Linked DNA regions of Cricetulus griseus. The protein of the gene in region 2 purifies or fractionates together with the protein of the main gene of each other region. This does not show direct contact. Links are inferred from orthologs where the notes say so. Each region holds a gene or a part of one and is shown on either strand. Other genes may lie near its edges.

Region 1 (4,303 bases), about 13 Mb from region 2:
CGAGGAAGATGCCTGCATTATCTTTGTGCCTTCTGCCTTGAAGGAGGATGAGCTGGGCTAGGTATCAATGGTCCTTAGGTAGACACTCCAGGGATAACAAGTCAATATGCAGAGCAAGGGGGAGCATGATGTGATTGGTGTTTGAAGGGTTCCAAAGCCCTCTGGCACCTGGCATTGTCTTCACTTGTCCCCTGGTGGCACTGCCATCTTCCATGTTATACAGTGAAGTTTTAGTGCTCATGTACCAATGGCTAGGCTGGCTCATACCTGTTACTCCAAAGACTAGGAGACTGAGTTATTGTTCCTGTTGCTGTGTCTACAAACCCGACAGAAGCATCCTCAGGAAGGGTTGGGATGTCATAGCAACAGGAGTGCCAGGCAGCTGATCACATTGCCACCTGCATCCAGGAAGCAGAACAAGATGGTTTCCTTTCCTCTTTTATTCAGTCTGAGGGCTTAGCCTCTAGGATGGCATCATGCACGTGGTGAGTCCTTAATGGTGAGTCCTTAATGGTGAGTCCTTCCTTCCTCAGTTAAACCTGTCTAGAATCTCACCAACACACTCAGAAGTTTTTGTTTTGTTTTGTTTGTATATACATTGTGTGTACACAGGGAGGTCAGAGGAATTGGTTCTCAACTTCTCCCACATGGGTCCTGGGGATTGAACTCATGTAGTCAGGCTTGGTGACACTATCTTTACCCACTGGACTGTCCTGCTGGCCCACTTGTCTGTTTCCACAATGATACTAAATCTCATCAGGTTGACAAAATGAACCATCATGGAGGCTGGAGAAATAGCTCAGCAGTTAAAGACTGACTACTCTTTCAGGACTAGAGTTGGGTTCCCAGCACCTCCAAGGCTGGTCTCCAAAGGCTCCTGTATGTACGTTCTGCACAGACAGGCAGATAGAAATCTTTAAAAATAGGAAAAATAGCCACAATAGCCACAAAGACGGCTGAAAAGCAGAGAGGTGCCAGGCTGTCATTGTTTTTTGGTTACCTGTGTGTCCAACAGAGGATCCGCTGGCACCCTGTCACTTTTACACACCTTCCTGCTCCTCATCCAGCCAGCCGGGGTCCTGCAGCAGCAGCTCATACACATACACAGCTTGGATTCCAGCTCAGTGAGCCAGTTGCAGGTGGCCCAGCCTTCCCTCGCTGGAATATGCGCCAAAGAGCCGCCTGGTGAAAGCCACTTTTTTTTTTTTCTTTTTGTTTGTTTTGTTTTCAAGACAGGGTTTCTCTGTGTTGTTTTGAAGCCTATCCTGGCACTCACTCTGTAGACTAGGCTGTCCTCGAAACCACAGAGATCCGCTTGGCTCTGCCTCCTGTGCTGGGAGGTGCTGCCCCTGGGGTTTGGACAGGATTTCTAACCTGCTCCGCCTCGCCTGCTCGTGCCTGCCGAAGGTCATCCGGTCCACCAGGGGGCGCGGGGCCAGGGGCTTTGATTGGCTGTGTCCTCGTGACCCGGAAGTGGTCGCGGTCCGGAGCTCAGTGTGGTAACGGCGGCTGCGGCTTGAGTCTGGGAGCCGGAGCGCACCTCTAGGATGAACGCTCCTCCGGCCTTCGAGTCGTTCTTGCTCTTCGAGGGCGAGAAGAAGTAAGTGGAGGCCGTTAGCTCTGGCGCGGTGAGCACTGTGCTTCGTGCGCGTCTGCCGAACTTCAGGCGGTGGTGCGATGTACGCCTGTGTTACAGCGGGGAAACTGAGGCCGGGGCACGTCGAGCCCTTGCTCCAGACACTTAGGAAGTGTCGGGGACTGTATTCGAACTCAGAGTGTCAGGCTCCCTTTTCACTGGTCTGCAGCCCCATTATCCATGCTGCGCAGCGATGGCTTTAGAGCTCACCCCCCTGCATAGGGTGCGATCGCCTGTGATTCCAGGACTTGGCGACTGAGGCAGGAGGATAATGATGGTAGCGGTGAAGGGACCGAGACACAGCTACCCTCTCACACTCCTCAGCAGCCTGAGGATTTCCTCTAGATTTTCAGGGATCTCGGCCAAACTCAGGTTCGTGGCTTCAACACTAGAAAGAATTTCAGGACTCGACGGTTTAATGACGCACTCAGGAGGCACAGGCAGACGGATCTCTGAGTTCAAGGCCAGCCTGGTCTATAGAGGTAGTTCCAGGACCAAGAGAAATCCCGTTCTGAAAAAGAAAAAAGGAGCAATCCTGTGTGGGAAAGGGTCCTTGGTGTGTATAGATAAGGTGCCATCACGGAGTAGAGAAGGTTCCTTGTTTTTTTGTTTTGGTCATGCTGGGGACTGGACCCAGGGTCTGGCCCATGCTAGGTTACTGCTCTATCAATAAGCTACACTCGAGCTTTTTTTTTTTTTTTGTAGTTTTCTTTTGGTTTTTCAAAACAGGGTTTCCTCTGTGTTGCTCTGGCTGTCCTGGAACTCGCTCTGTAGTGCAGGCTGGCTTCGAAGTCACAGAGATCCTCCTGCCTCTGCCTCCCAAGCGCTGGATCAAAGGTGTGCTCCACCACTGCCTGGCTCACTCCAGCTCCCCCTGCCCAACATTTGCTAGGCTGGGGAGATGGCTCAGTGGGTCACAGCTCAAAGCATTTGCTGAGGATTGGTGTGGATCTCCAGAAGCCGTGTCAAAGCTGTGCAATGTGCCTACTTCATTGCTCCTCCAGGGACGTGGAAGTGTAGATAGGAGTCAGCCAGCATGGTCTGTCAAGGAAGGCAAGGATGACAGTGTTTTTCTCTGCCCTCCTGCCCCCGTCACTGGGATTACTAGTCCCAGTGACTAGTCCCAGCAGGCCTACCTTGCTTGTTTTGTTTGGAGGGGGAGTGAGTGGTAGGATGAAACCCAGAGCCTTAAAAATTTGAGATAAATGGTGACCCATTGAACCATGCCAGAGCTCTCAGAGAGCCCTTTGGGGCGAGCAGACTGGGGATAGTGGGACTTGCAGAATGATGGCCTCCCTTGAATTGTTAGGGGGTTTGGAGACAAGCTGTTTTCTGTCTTCTAGGAAAGAATTTAGTCAAGAGCTAGTTTAAGACAACCAATTTGTATGAGGGAAAGAGCTGGATGTTTTTGTTTCTGGGGTAGTGGGAACAGCCCAACTGCAGTTTCTAGAATGTTTGATCACAAAGGGGACACCGATTTGAGAATCAGTGTCAGCATCACAAGAGCTGGATGTGGGGCCAGGGAAAGCTATCACCCTCAGCCTTTGCCTGTCTCATTGTAGAATCACCATTAACAAGGACACAAAGGTGCCCAATGCTTGCCTGTTCACCATCAACAAAGAAGACCACACTCTGGGGAACATCATCAAATCGTAAGTCCCAGGCCAGAGGCCTCGAGTGTCACCAGAGCTCTGTAGGCTGAGCACATGCCCTGGGACGGTTCCTTCCGTCTCTCCGCAGCTTGCTGGCACTTTAACCTGTCACTGACAGGTCTGTTCACATGCGGCTTGCTTTTGTTGGCTTTTTGATGTAGGGGTTCATGTAGTGTAGACTGGACTCAAACTGACTCACCTTACCATGGTTGCCGGGATCCTGGCCACGTAACACGTAACACATCAGCTTCCTGTTGGCTCATTCATGTAGTGTATAAGTTTGCAGTTGCCTCTTGGTCTTTTGGCCAAGATCAAGTTCAGGGGACTCCAGCAAAGCAGGTTTTCATTTTAGTGGGCATCAAGATGCTAAGAGGTGATGGGTATGGTGGTACACACCTGTAATTCCAGCACTCGGGAGGCAGAGGCAGATGGAGTACTTGTGAGTTCAGAGCCAGCCTGGTCTACATAGTAAGCTCTAGGACAGCCAGTTACATACAGTATCTCAAAAAGATAAAGCAAAGGGGGCCAGCAGTGTCACCTCACTTACCCCTACATTTGATAGAAAGCTGCAGGCATCGGCAGATTACCAAACTTTTGTTACTGGGTGATTGCCAGTGCTTTCAGAGCTGGGGGGGTGACAGACGGTCCCCACCTGACATGAGTGCTGGGAATTGACTCTGGCTCCTCTCCAAGAGCAATACTTTCTTTAAATTTAAAACACCTTTTGCCTATGTATGTCTACCGTGTGTCTGTTACCCATGAAGGTCAGAAAGAACTAGATCCCTTGGAGCTGGAGGTACAGGTGGTTAGATGCCACATGGGTGCTGGAAACCTTTTAACTAATCCAGTTCTCCAGCCTTCCCTGCATGTAATGTGCTGGGTCTGGTGGTTTGTGCCTTTAACCACAGCAGGCAGATCTCTGTAAGTTCAAAGCCAGCTTGGCCTACATTGAGTTCCAGGATAGCCAGGACTGTTAAGGAAACCCTGTCTGGAAAAACCAAAAAATATATTGTGA
Region 2 (4,123 bases):
TCAAAATAAAACCGACATGAAGTTGGTCTTGGCTCCTGTTAATTTGGGCAGGCCTCTCATCTCATACAGTTTCCCTCCTGGGTTCTTAAGGTCCTAGGTCCTTCTAATACATCTTTTCACTTAAGGCAGCTTTAGTGCTCTCACCCACATGATCTGGAAGCCACAGCCTGCCTTTCTCTGAGAGCAATGAAGGTGGTTTCCACCCCTCCTCAGCCTGCTCCCTGACTCCACCTAGCAGTCCACACTCTCCTCATGACCACACTCCCGGCTCTAGTGTGTAACCCCAGCCATCAAAAGGCAAATGCAAAAGTTTCGAAGTACAAGGTCATCCTTGGCTATACAAGGAGCTTGAGGGCAGCCTCAGCTACATGAAATTCTATTTCAAATCTCAAGCAAAAAATAAAAATGTTCCATGGCAGTGTCCACACTGTAGCACCTGCCACTTCACTCCAGTCCACTCCCACCTGCCTTCAGCCCCACTGCTCCCCCGCTAACACTGGCCTCAGCTGGCAATGACACCATGTCCCCACATCTAACAGCCACTTTCTATCACTGTCTGACAAACTGCTCAGCTGGACCTAAGGTGAGCAGCAGCTCTTTCATGAAAACTTCCCCCTTGTCCGTTCTGAAGCTGTGCCTTCCTCTCACCTCACTGATGTCACCTCCTCTAGCAGCTTCCCAAGAACACACACCCTCAGGGCTGAGCAGCCCACTTTCAGTGCCAGGGGACGCTGTGCAGGACTCACCAGCCATCACAGGGTAGTTGAAGTGCTCTGCTGCTGGATCCAGGTTGACCACCTGGACAGAGCGGTTGAGGGCTTCGCAGTGCTGAACCATGGTGGAACAGTAGGTGCTCTGTAACATGACAAGGTGGGGTGGTTAGCACACGGGGCAAGTGTGGTGCCGCCCTTCACACCCCCAGGGGACTTTGCCACTCTTTGGGGCAGTGTCCACTCAGGCCAAAGCTGCACCTTTGGGAAAAGTGCTGGGAAGGCAGTCAAAACAGAGCTATAGATCAAGATGTGGCTTGGGCTCAGAGAACTTTAACACAGTCCAAAACTTAGATTATGCAAATGATTTCCACTATGCTTCCCTTTGACACACTGCTCTCTCTGACTGGGACCACCCCTTCATACATCAAAATGTACTATGATTGACATGCCAGCTATGCATCTTCCCAAATAGATTACAGGCTCTGCAGAGTCACATGCATAACTCTGGTACTCAGAACCTGTGTTTATTAAATACTCAAGTGACACAACACCTCCGAAGACTTGATATGTAATCATTATCTTTGTCTTTTCTACTGTGTTTAGTGTCCCTAATATTATTCCCCGAATATATATTTACAAGGAAACATAGTCTAGCACATGGGAGGCAAAGGAAGGTAGATCTCTGAGTTGGAGGCCAGCTTGGTCTACACATGAGTTCCAGGACAGTCTGAGCTACACAGAGAAACCCTGTTTCAAAACAAAACAAGGAAACTCATATCACAATTTAAAATAAAACAACAAGCCAGGCAGTGGTGGCCCAAGCTTTTAATCTCAGCAATCGGGAGGCAGAGGCAGGTGGATCTCTATGAGTTCAAGACCAGCCTAGTCTACAAGAGCTACTTCCAGGACAGCGTCCAAAGACACAGAGAAACCCTGTCTCAAAAAACCAAAACAAACAAAAAATAAATAAAAAACCAAATATTATATTTCTCATAATACGAAGGTAATTACAAAATTCTAAGTAACTTTTTCCAGACGTGGGAGTGCCTACCTATAATCCCAGCACAAAGAAAGTCAAGGCAGGACTTCCATGAGTTTAAGGCTAGGGTGGACCACACAGTTAAGACTCTTGTCTCCAAAAGTAATTAGTTAACTTAATTTTTTTATTTATTATTGTTGCAGAAGACCTGGGTTTTCCACAAGCAACACCCTCTTCTGGTCTCTTTGGGCAGTGTACACAAGCCAGATAAGTATCAGAAGTCCATATCCCAACCACCCTCTCTACACCACTCCCCTCCCTCGAGTGCTGGGATGGAACCCAAGGCTCAAACTTCTGAGGAACAGTGAAGAACAAGACCCTATTCTGGGTGTGTGACAGAGGGCCTGTACCGAAATGAGTCAAAAACGGACTCAAATTCTGGCCAGAACCGTATGACTTTGAAAAGTTATCCTTTCTGTAGAATGAGTATAGGTTTAAGCTAGGGAGTGGTTATGAAAACACTTGGGACGGCCAGAGCAGTTCCTGGAGCAAAAGTATCCTATTAATATTATTATTTTCAGGCCGGGCGGTTGTGGCGAACGCCTTTAATACCAGCAGAGGCAGAGGCAGGTGGATCTCTGTGAGTTCGAGGCCAGACTGGTCTACAGAATGAGTTCCAGGACACGTTCCAAAGATACACAGAGAAACCCTGTCTCGAAAAAGCTAAGAAAACAAAGTGTGTTGTGTGGGTTCCTGCACGTGAATGCACTGTTCGTGGAGGCCTGGGGCTGGAGTTACAGCTCTGTGTGTGTGCTGGGACCCGAACTCCAGTTCCCTGGAAGAGCACAAGATCTTAAGCGCTCAGCCACCTCTCCTGTCCCCCCAGTAATTAGTAAAGCTGCCTTTACTCCTCCAACAAAAACAAGGAACAAGCAGAGAGCGGAAGCGAATTACCCAGGGCTCCCGGGAGCCCCGACGCCCACGAACCGCAGCTCCTCGAGCCTCACCTTCCCGCTGCCCGCGGGGCCCATAACTAGCTGCGCATACCGAGGCATACCGGCTCTCCGCCTTCCCCCGGCCGCCGGCGCTCACACTCCCTTCAGCCTTCGCGCGAGCTCCCCTGAGCTCCGGGGACAAGGGTACCAGCCAATCGCGACCCAGATCACTGTTTCGTCCCTGGTATTTACGCCTACGACTACGGAGCGTCCCAAGAGCCAAAATTTCTGAGAAATGTGACCTGACGGAAAAGAGGAGGTGGAGACGCGGCTTCACGCGTGCGCAGAGAGAGCTGCGGGCCGTTGTCAGTTGGCCCACAGGCGAGGCTGGTTGCCTAGGTGACAACGAATCGCAGTAACGCTCAGCTCCTTCAGGCCGGTGCCCTGGTTCTTGGGTTTGACTCCTAGGGTGACATCCTAAGACTTGCAGATCCACCGAGGGTCTGGAATACTGAGGTGGGAGACACCTTTTGCTTTAAGGGAGAGCACGCGCACGCGTGTGCATGTGTATGTGAGTGTGAGTGTGTGTGCGTGCGTGAGTGTATGTGTGTGCGTGTGTGTGTGTGAGTGTGTGTATGTGTGTGTGTGTGTATGTGTGGCCTTGCCCTGACACGTCCCTGTCACGGAGATTTGCCAAGGCGTAAAAGCCTGGTCACCTGAGGCCTCCTCCTCCTCCTCCTCGTCCTCCTCCCCCCCGGGTCTAGCACCAGGGTCTCGGGTCGCCTTCGGCACCGTCCCGAAGCCGCTCGGGCAGGGTCGGAGGGTAGAGCCGGAGGCCGCGGCGGCCTCACAGCGGGCGTGGCGCGCGCGTGCCGACGGGATGCCGAGCCGTTGTCCCGGGGTCGCAGAGCTGCCTGCATTGGTCAGGACCGAAGGCTGCGACGGGTGAGGCCCGGGAAGCCCCGCTGAGGAGTCGAGAGAGAGAGAGAGGGAGAGAGAGAGAGAGAGAGAGAGAGAGAGAGAGAGAGAGAGAGAGAGAGAGAGAGAGAGAGAGAGAGAGAGACAGAGACAGAGACAGAGAGAGAGAGAGAGAGAGAGAGAGACAGAGAGAGAGACAGAGAGAGAGAGAGAGAGAGAGAGAGAGAGAGAGAGAGAGAGAGAGAGACAGAGAGGAGGGGGCGGGTGAGGCCGCGAGGTCAAGGGCTGACGAGGCGGCCTCGGAGCAGGACAGCAGCACTGTCACCTGCTCTCGCTCTCAGCGCCCCCGGAGAGGGTCCTGCGAACCCAGTAGGGAGCCGAGGACCCAGCCCCCACTCCCACCCCCAACCCCTAGTCCCACAACCCCCGCCACTAAGCCAGTCCCTGCGACATTGGCCGCCTCTTTATCGGATGGGGCTATGGGCCAGGAAGGCCTTGATCATGACTTGCTTGACGGGTAGGTTTCTTGAGACACACTCCCATAGCTCAGGCTGGCCTTGAACTACCCGTCCTCCTGT
Region 3 (3,565 bases), on a different chromosome or scaffold from region 2:
GGAGTTGATGGTGAGCTGGCTGTCAGTCTGCACAGCATCCTGTGCCTCTGAATCCTCATACTAATCCTGGGAGGTGAAACTTGGCATCTTGGTTTCACAGCAGGTTCTGTAGGTTCAGAGCTAGGAACAAGGCAGTTCTCAGCACTTTTCCTCTACACAACACCTGCGGGTTTAAAAGGCCAGGCTTCACACCTGCCTGTTCTGGGTGAACTTTTTGCCCCATGACTGTGCTGACAGCTGAAGACAGTGAAGTGAACTCTTGAGAATTCTTTAGTCAGTGTCCAGTGTGATGGGCACAGGCTTCAAGGCCTCCAGACTGTCTTTGAGCACACCCTTGTGCTGCTTCCCAGAGCCTATACAGGACGAATTCTGATGTTAATAATAACTATTTTCAAATGACTGTTCACTGCTTCTTAATATTATTATTGAATGGATAATTTAGATCAGATTACTTTTTCTTTCTACTTACCTCCTGTGTCTTCCCTGTTTAGGCAACATCTTAGGTGTCATTCGAGACCATAAAAAGCTTGTCAGTACATTTCGGCTGATGCGAAGAGCGGGATATATCAATGAATTTGTTTCTATCTCCACGAATCTTACAGACCGATGTGTTTATATTTCCTCTGATGGAGGACGGTTGTGCAGGTATGTTGCTACAAAGAATTTAAGTCTTTTTATGTGAACTTTTAAAAGAAATGGCCTTACTTTTAGTTTTGAAGCTGCTTTAACCTTTCTTGTCATGGAGATGCATCTAATTCAGTTATTAGACACTTTGGAGATAATTTGAAAACTAATGGAGGATAGTTTTTGTCCTCAGAGAGTTTCATCTGCCAGGAGAAACACAAATAGTTACTAATAGCAACCAGTTGTGCTAGGATTGGATGCTAGTTATTGTTTGTTGTCTTATTGGGTATGCTATCTGTGTAAGACTCTTACTATATGAGAAACTTGGGGGTCTGTGAAGGTGAGCCACATACCCAGAGCTAGACTAGAGTAGAATTGGGTTTTTTCTTGGTAGTCCTTAGAAGTCACATGAGTCCAACAATCATCATGATTTTTTACCTCTGTAGTCTACCCAGCCTTAAAGTGTTGGTAGAATTATTTTGCTTGATCAGATAGTAAAAGGAGAAATGCTAAGGAAATGAAAGTGTGAAGACACAGATGAAGAAGGTAACTAGAAAAGTAGGCTCCTTTTGTTCTTCCAGAAAGTGTGTAGATACTATCACACACAGGTAGTCTTTCAAGCAGACAGAAATCCAACTAGTATCTGCCCCACCCCACCCAAACTTACTCGGCACGCCTGGATTGTCATAACTGTCCCAGTTCCTGATATTTCTCAGTGTCTCTCCCCTTTCCTCCATTCCTATTCCTTCTGGAACTTCATAATGCTTGTAGTAAAGTAATTTTTGCTTACCCTGTTCAAAGTTGGTTTGTCTTATGGTGTTGTTGAAAACAATATACCCACACTGGAGTCCTAATTGGCCACTTAGTGACTGTGATTCTAGTATTTCTAACTTTCTGAGGCTTGGTTTCCTTGTCTGTGAAATGTAAGTGGTGATGCCTACCTATGCCTGTGCTAAGAACTAGCTAGTAAGCTGTGGGAAGTACTTACAGAGTATCCAGAGTTGTTCCCAAATGGCCTAGGCCAAGTGTGGTGGCTCAGTGGCCTTAATCCTAGTATATAGGAAGCAGAGACTGGTGGTGGATCTCTGTGAGGTCCAGCCTGATGTCTGTGGTGAGATCTTGCTTTAAAAAGAGGAAGAAAGTTGGTATTAGACAACATGGCCTTCTGAGGGGCAGGAGAAGCAATGGCATGTTCTAAGCTATTCCTGTTTGTAATTTTGTTATTTCACTGTATCCATATAAAACATGTTCTAAAAGGAAGTTAACTGTTTTTCAGAAGTAATTTTATAATTCCAGCACAGCTCTGGCTGGAATAGGAGAATTTATTGAGGAAAGGGGCTTCTCCCTTCTTTTCTGGTTTCTGCTCAGTCCTGTGAGCCTTGACCTGAGCTACTGGAGTGGGGCAGGAGTGGGCAGAGGTACTGAGTGGGCAAGAGTGGGCGGAGCTCCTACAGTGGGTGGGAGTGGTTCTCTGCATCCTCACCAAAACGCCAGGATTTGAGGTACTGCTGACTTCCTTGAAGAGCTTGCCCAGCTCCTTCCTCCTTTTTTGAGTGATCAGAGTGATCAGCTCCTCCTCTTGCCCATTTCACAGTGCTCATTAGTCGTCAAGAAGTCATTTGGGCTTCCAACAAACACACAAGTGTCTGCTGGCTTCTTGTTCCCCCTCTGTAAGAGCTGCTTGTCCAAATAGCAGCAGCACTTGACGTTTCCATGCCGCATGCCCTTCTTTTTGTGGGTATTTCCTTGTAGTGGCAGAACCCTCAGAGGCAAGTCACACTGAAAGTTACAGGTTAATCTGACAGAGTGCTCTCTCCATCTCACCCCCAGCAGTCATTATAAGTCACCAGTAAAGAAGCTGTGTTCTCTTCTGCATAAACATCCAGCCAAGCAGAGCTTTAAGTCACTTGTTAGTCTATTTCAGTGATGTTTGTCATGCATCAAACCACATCAAACATCTGGGCCTCCTCTGAACTCTCAAAATAAATGCCATTATTGTCCTCAGTGACAAGTCTCTACCCGCTGACACCATACATCAGTTCTCCCATGTGGGGGACATGCCCCAGGACTCCCCAGTGGATGCCTAAAACCATCAATACTATCCTTTCAGTCATATAGCTGAGACTGCTATGCTACTACATAGCTGTGTAGCATGCGGTCACTAGAGAAAAGGTTGGTTCCCTTCCCAGCTAGAGTGGTACAGGGTTGTACAGGATTTCACCACACTGCCCAGAAGGCTATACATGATTTAAAAGTTTCTAGACCACAGTTGACTCCAACTCACTAAAATCACCAAAATCGTGAAAATCCTGAAGCATGGTAAAGGGAGATTGCTATACAGCAAGTATTCCCAGCAGGAAATGAGGCACTTCTGTAGTGGTTTACACAGTTTAAAATGTGGCATGAAGATTTTGTGCCCTGTCTAGACTTCATTGTGATTTTTATGTTGCCTTTTCATTTAAATCCAAATGATTCTTAGGATAATCGGAGGGAAACTGAGTAGTGAATACACACTCACATAAATATAAGGAGGTGGAGAGAGAAAGACTCTACATGTTCATACAGCAGTTCCAGAACAAGCTTCATCTACCCTCTCTCATTCCACAGTGGTCAGTAGAGCTGACTTACACCATCCTTCTAGTAAGCTATCTTTCTCCCTTTCTAGGCCTTACATAATTGTCAAGAAGCAAAAGCCAGCAGTGACAGTTAAGCACATGGAAGAGTTGGCTCAAGGCTACAGGTAAGTGACCAAAAGTAGACATTATCAATCTCTTTAAATATGGGCTAGATGCTTTCATCAGCAGTAACATTCTTCAATATATACTGTAAGGATGGTATATTTTCATCTCTAGTCTATTAAGCCCTCCCCGCCAAATGTACCAGCAACCAGTTAAAACCATTTTATATGCAGTAGCCTGCATATGATGAAGTGCTTGACAAA
Region 4 (2,848 bases), about 81 Mb from region 2:
ATGGATATTAAGGTGTGGTGGTGCATACTTTAGTCATATCACTTTAATTCCAGCAGTTGGGAGGTAAAAGGCAGGCAGATCTCTGAGTTTTCAGGCTAGCCTGGTCTACACAGCAAATAGATGGTGAGACCCTGTCTATAAATAGAATGTATAATATTGGTAAAGTTTGTGTTCGGATTAGCAGGATGGGAGAAGTGTGGACATTAGTTATAGTTAGATTGTAACATACCTTCTGGGAAAATAGCACCCCCTCTCTTGAATTGGATTTTAGTCAGGTGCCGGCACCTTTTAAAGTCAAACTGACTTTGCCTCTGGTTGGCTTTTCCTGAGCATTCAGCTGGCATGGCCGATGTCTTTATGGCCCTTGATATTTCTTCCTCTCAGTGCATTAGAATTAGCATCAGATCCAATGGGTGTGCTGGAGGAGAGAGACCTCTGAATTGTCTCTAGGCTTTTTAAAAATACCTATCTTGAGACATTTTTAGGTTAAACCCTTCTGAAATGGGTTGCCTGTGACAAAATAGTAAACTAGATACCAATTATGCCTACCCATAATATTCCTGGGCTGAGGTAGGGAGCTGTTGAAGTTCAGGAGTGTGTGGTGGGGGGTGGTAGTGAGGCGAATGAGAGATAAGCCCCGAAGCCTGCCAGCAGTTGGTGGTAATCCTTATATGTGGAAAAGTCCCCTGCCAGTCTGAAATTTACTGGGACCTTTTTGAGTGTTAATTTCCATAAGACTTTACTTATGGAGGAACAGTCTGCATGGAAGGAGCAGTCAGCAGCCTTAATGTCTTGGCTCTTTTGTGCCATTGAGGTGTACTCTTCAAACCTAGAAAATATGATTTTAATGTAGAGAAGAAAGTGTGTCCGTTGGAGACATCAGCACCACTTTGATGATTTCTTCTACTGGCAGCTGGTTCGGTGTGCATGGCACAGTTAGTGTATCTGTTCACAGCTGCCAGAGTGCCAAGCTGAGTTCTCAGTTTCTCGTGTAGAGGTTAGCTGTTTTGATTGCAGCATTGCTTGCTAATGAAAGTCACTAGCAACAGCAGCAGGCTGACAGCTCTCAGATACATCACCTTGTGTCTGGCAGGGCATAGCTGTCAACATCCTGTGTTGCCAGAGACAGTGGAAATTACACTCTTTATCCTGGACCCGGGGAGCTGTGCATGTGTTAACTTGGGCTTTGTTCTTTGTTTTAAAGGAGATGCAAGCAAAGCTCGCAGCACAGAAACTAGCAGAGAGACTGAATATTAAAATGCAGAGCTACAATCCAGAAGGGGAGTCTTCAGGGAGATACCGAGAAGTGAGGGACGAAGATGATGCCCAGTCCTCGGATGAATTCTGAAGATGATCATGGGAGTTCTATCTCCAAAGCTGACTGTTCAGCCGTCATTGCCTCATAGCAACCTTCCTATCAAGTATCAAGATCAGTGTCAGACCTTGTTGAGGGACAGCAGTTTTTAAAGTTACACTACGGTAGCTACAAAATAAGAGCCCAGTTTGTCTTTCAGAAGATGATCTTCATGTGCTTGAACAGTTTTAATATTTGAACATTGTGTTTGACCGTATTGTATTACAGTTTTGCAGTATGTTGTGCATTGTTCTGATATTTTAGTGTGAGTAGAGCACATTTTTTCTTTAAGATAGCTGCTTTTTCCTTATTCTTATTCTTATCAAATAGCATTGCTTACATCCCTTCCGGTAAAGTACTTTGTTATCCCAGGCACCTAAAATCAATTAGGAAGACCTGGTTCCTTTTCTTGAGAAATGCAAGGAGCAGTCTAGAGAATGGTACGCATGCTTGCATGGAGTTCCTGAGATGTTGGATGTGAAATACTGTGGAAGACACTCGACTTATACAACAAATGTTTATTTGCTGTTCCTGTCTTCTCTTGGGGTGACTGCTATCTTCCTGTGATGAAGATAGGAGCACCTTGAGGAGGTGCTGGGTGGGGAGGGTCTTCTGAGCTGGGGTGGGGAGCTGCTCTTGGCTTCCCCAGCTCATTGCTGTCTTGGATGATAGGTCAGCGTACAGGGCGCTCATGTTTGCTAAGGAAACTGGTGTTTTTCTAAGAGTTATGGTTGAATTGTCAGTATGTTGCTTTTTTCCTTTTTAAACCCAAAGAGGTGTTTATAGGCTGCAGAAACCTCAGTCTCATATATGTACACATTTGTGTTGTTTAAATGATCATATCATCATCTCCAGCGAAGGTAACAATATGTTATCAAAAACCCTTTCTTTGTCTATTATGTGGAACCTGTAAAGGAGAAATAAAATAACAATCAAAGCAACTTCACATGCTGACAGTTATATTTTGTGGTGCTTGTTTGAATTTTACTTCTTTAAAAGCAGTGTTCTACATGAAGTTGGACTGAAAACATTTAGGTCAGATACACATAATGTAAAGGTTCCATAATGGGTGCTTCTAACTGAAATAAGCACTTTCCATGCCCTCCCACTAAGAAAGGACTGCTGTAAGAACTAGATGGAACCTGTGGTTTTAAAACTACTAATAGATGATGTTTGGTGTTCACAGTCTGTAGATGAATTAGTGTTTCACAAAGGTTGGTAAAGGAGAGCTCATGCACATGCATGAAGTTGCAATTGAACCCCTGTGAGTTGACCACTCTGTCTATTAATACTTGAGTGTTCATACTTTGACTTCTCTTTCTTTCTTTCTTTCTTTCTTTCTTTCTTTCTTTCTTTCTTTCTTTCTTTCTTTCCTTCCTTCTTTCTTTTCTTTTGAAGCAGGGTTTCTCTGTGTAGCTTTGGAGCCTATCCTGGAACTCGCTCTGTAGACCAGACTGGCCTCGAACTCACAGAGATCCGCCTGCCTTTGCCTCC

What was found.
Region 1: the proteins of Gpn3 (region 2) and DNA-directed RNA polymerase II subunit RPB11-a purify together in Homo sapiens (affinity purification with mass spectrometry; 4 studies listed by BioGRID and IntAct, with this or other methods). This does not show direct contact. The link is inferred for Cricetulus griseus from reciprocal best matches to the Homo sapiens genes GPN3 and POLR2J.
Region 3: the proteins of Gpn3 (region 2) and Polr3b purify together in Homo sapiens (affinity purification with mass spectrometry; 3 studies listed by BioGRID and IntAct, counting the BioPlex papers as one, with this or other methods). This does not show direct contact. The link is inferred for Cricetulus griseus from reciprocal best matches to the Homo sapiens genes GPN3 and POLR3B.
Region 4: the proteins of Gpn3 (region 2) and Polr2m purify together in Homo sapiens (affinity purification with mass spectrometry; 3 studies listed by BioGRID and IntAct, counting the BioPlex papers as one, with this or other methods). This does not show direct contact. The link is inferred for Cricetulus griseus from reciprocal best matches to the Homo sapiens genes GPN3 and POLR2M.

The regions. Positions count from the first base shown.
Region 1 is NC_048597.1:115,111,013-115,115,315, forward strand, and holds the start of DNA-directed RNA polymerase II subunit RPB11-a, read left to right. Parts: upstream 1-1,443; 5' UTR 1,444-1,547; coding exon 1,548-1,600; intron 1,601-3,198; coding exon 3,199-3,288; intron 3,289-4,303. UniProt on the Homo sapiens protein: Core component of RNA polymerase II (Pol II), a DNA-dependent RNA polymerase which synthesizes mRNA precursors and many functional non-coding RNAs using the four ribonucleoside triphosphates as substrates.
Region 2 is NC_048597.1:102,212,076-102,216,198, reverse strand, and holds the start of Gpn3 (GPN-loop GTPase 3), read right to left. Parts: upstream 2,854-4,123; 5' UTR 2,748-2,853; coding exon 2,700-2,747; intron 856-2,699; coding exon 649-855; intron 1-648. Other genes in the region: protein FAM216A, read left to right, coding at 3,508-3,572. UniProt on the Homo sapiens protein: Small GTPase required for proper localization of RNA polymerase II (RNAPII). May act at an RNAP assembly step prior to nuclear import.
Region 3 is NW_023276806.1:150,759,643-150,763,207, reverse strand, and holds part of Polr3b (DNA-directed RNA polymerase III subunit RPC2), read left to right. Parts: intron 1-491; coding exon 492-645; intron 646-3,289; coding exon 3,290-3,364; intron 3,365-3,565. UniProt on the Homo sapiens protein: Catalytic core component of RNA polymerase III (Pol III), a DNA-dependent RNA polymerase which synthesizes small non-coding RNAs using the four ribonucleoside triphosphates as substrates.
Region 4 is NC_048597.1:182,985,537-182,988,384, reverse strand, and holds the end of Polr2m (protein GRINL1A), read left to right. Parts: intron 1-1,204; coding exon 1,205-1,348; 3' UTR 1,349-2,300; downstream 2,301-2,848.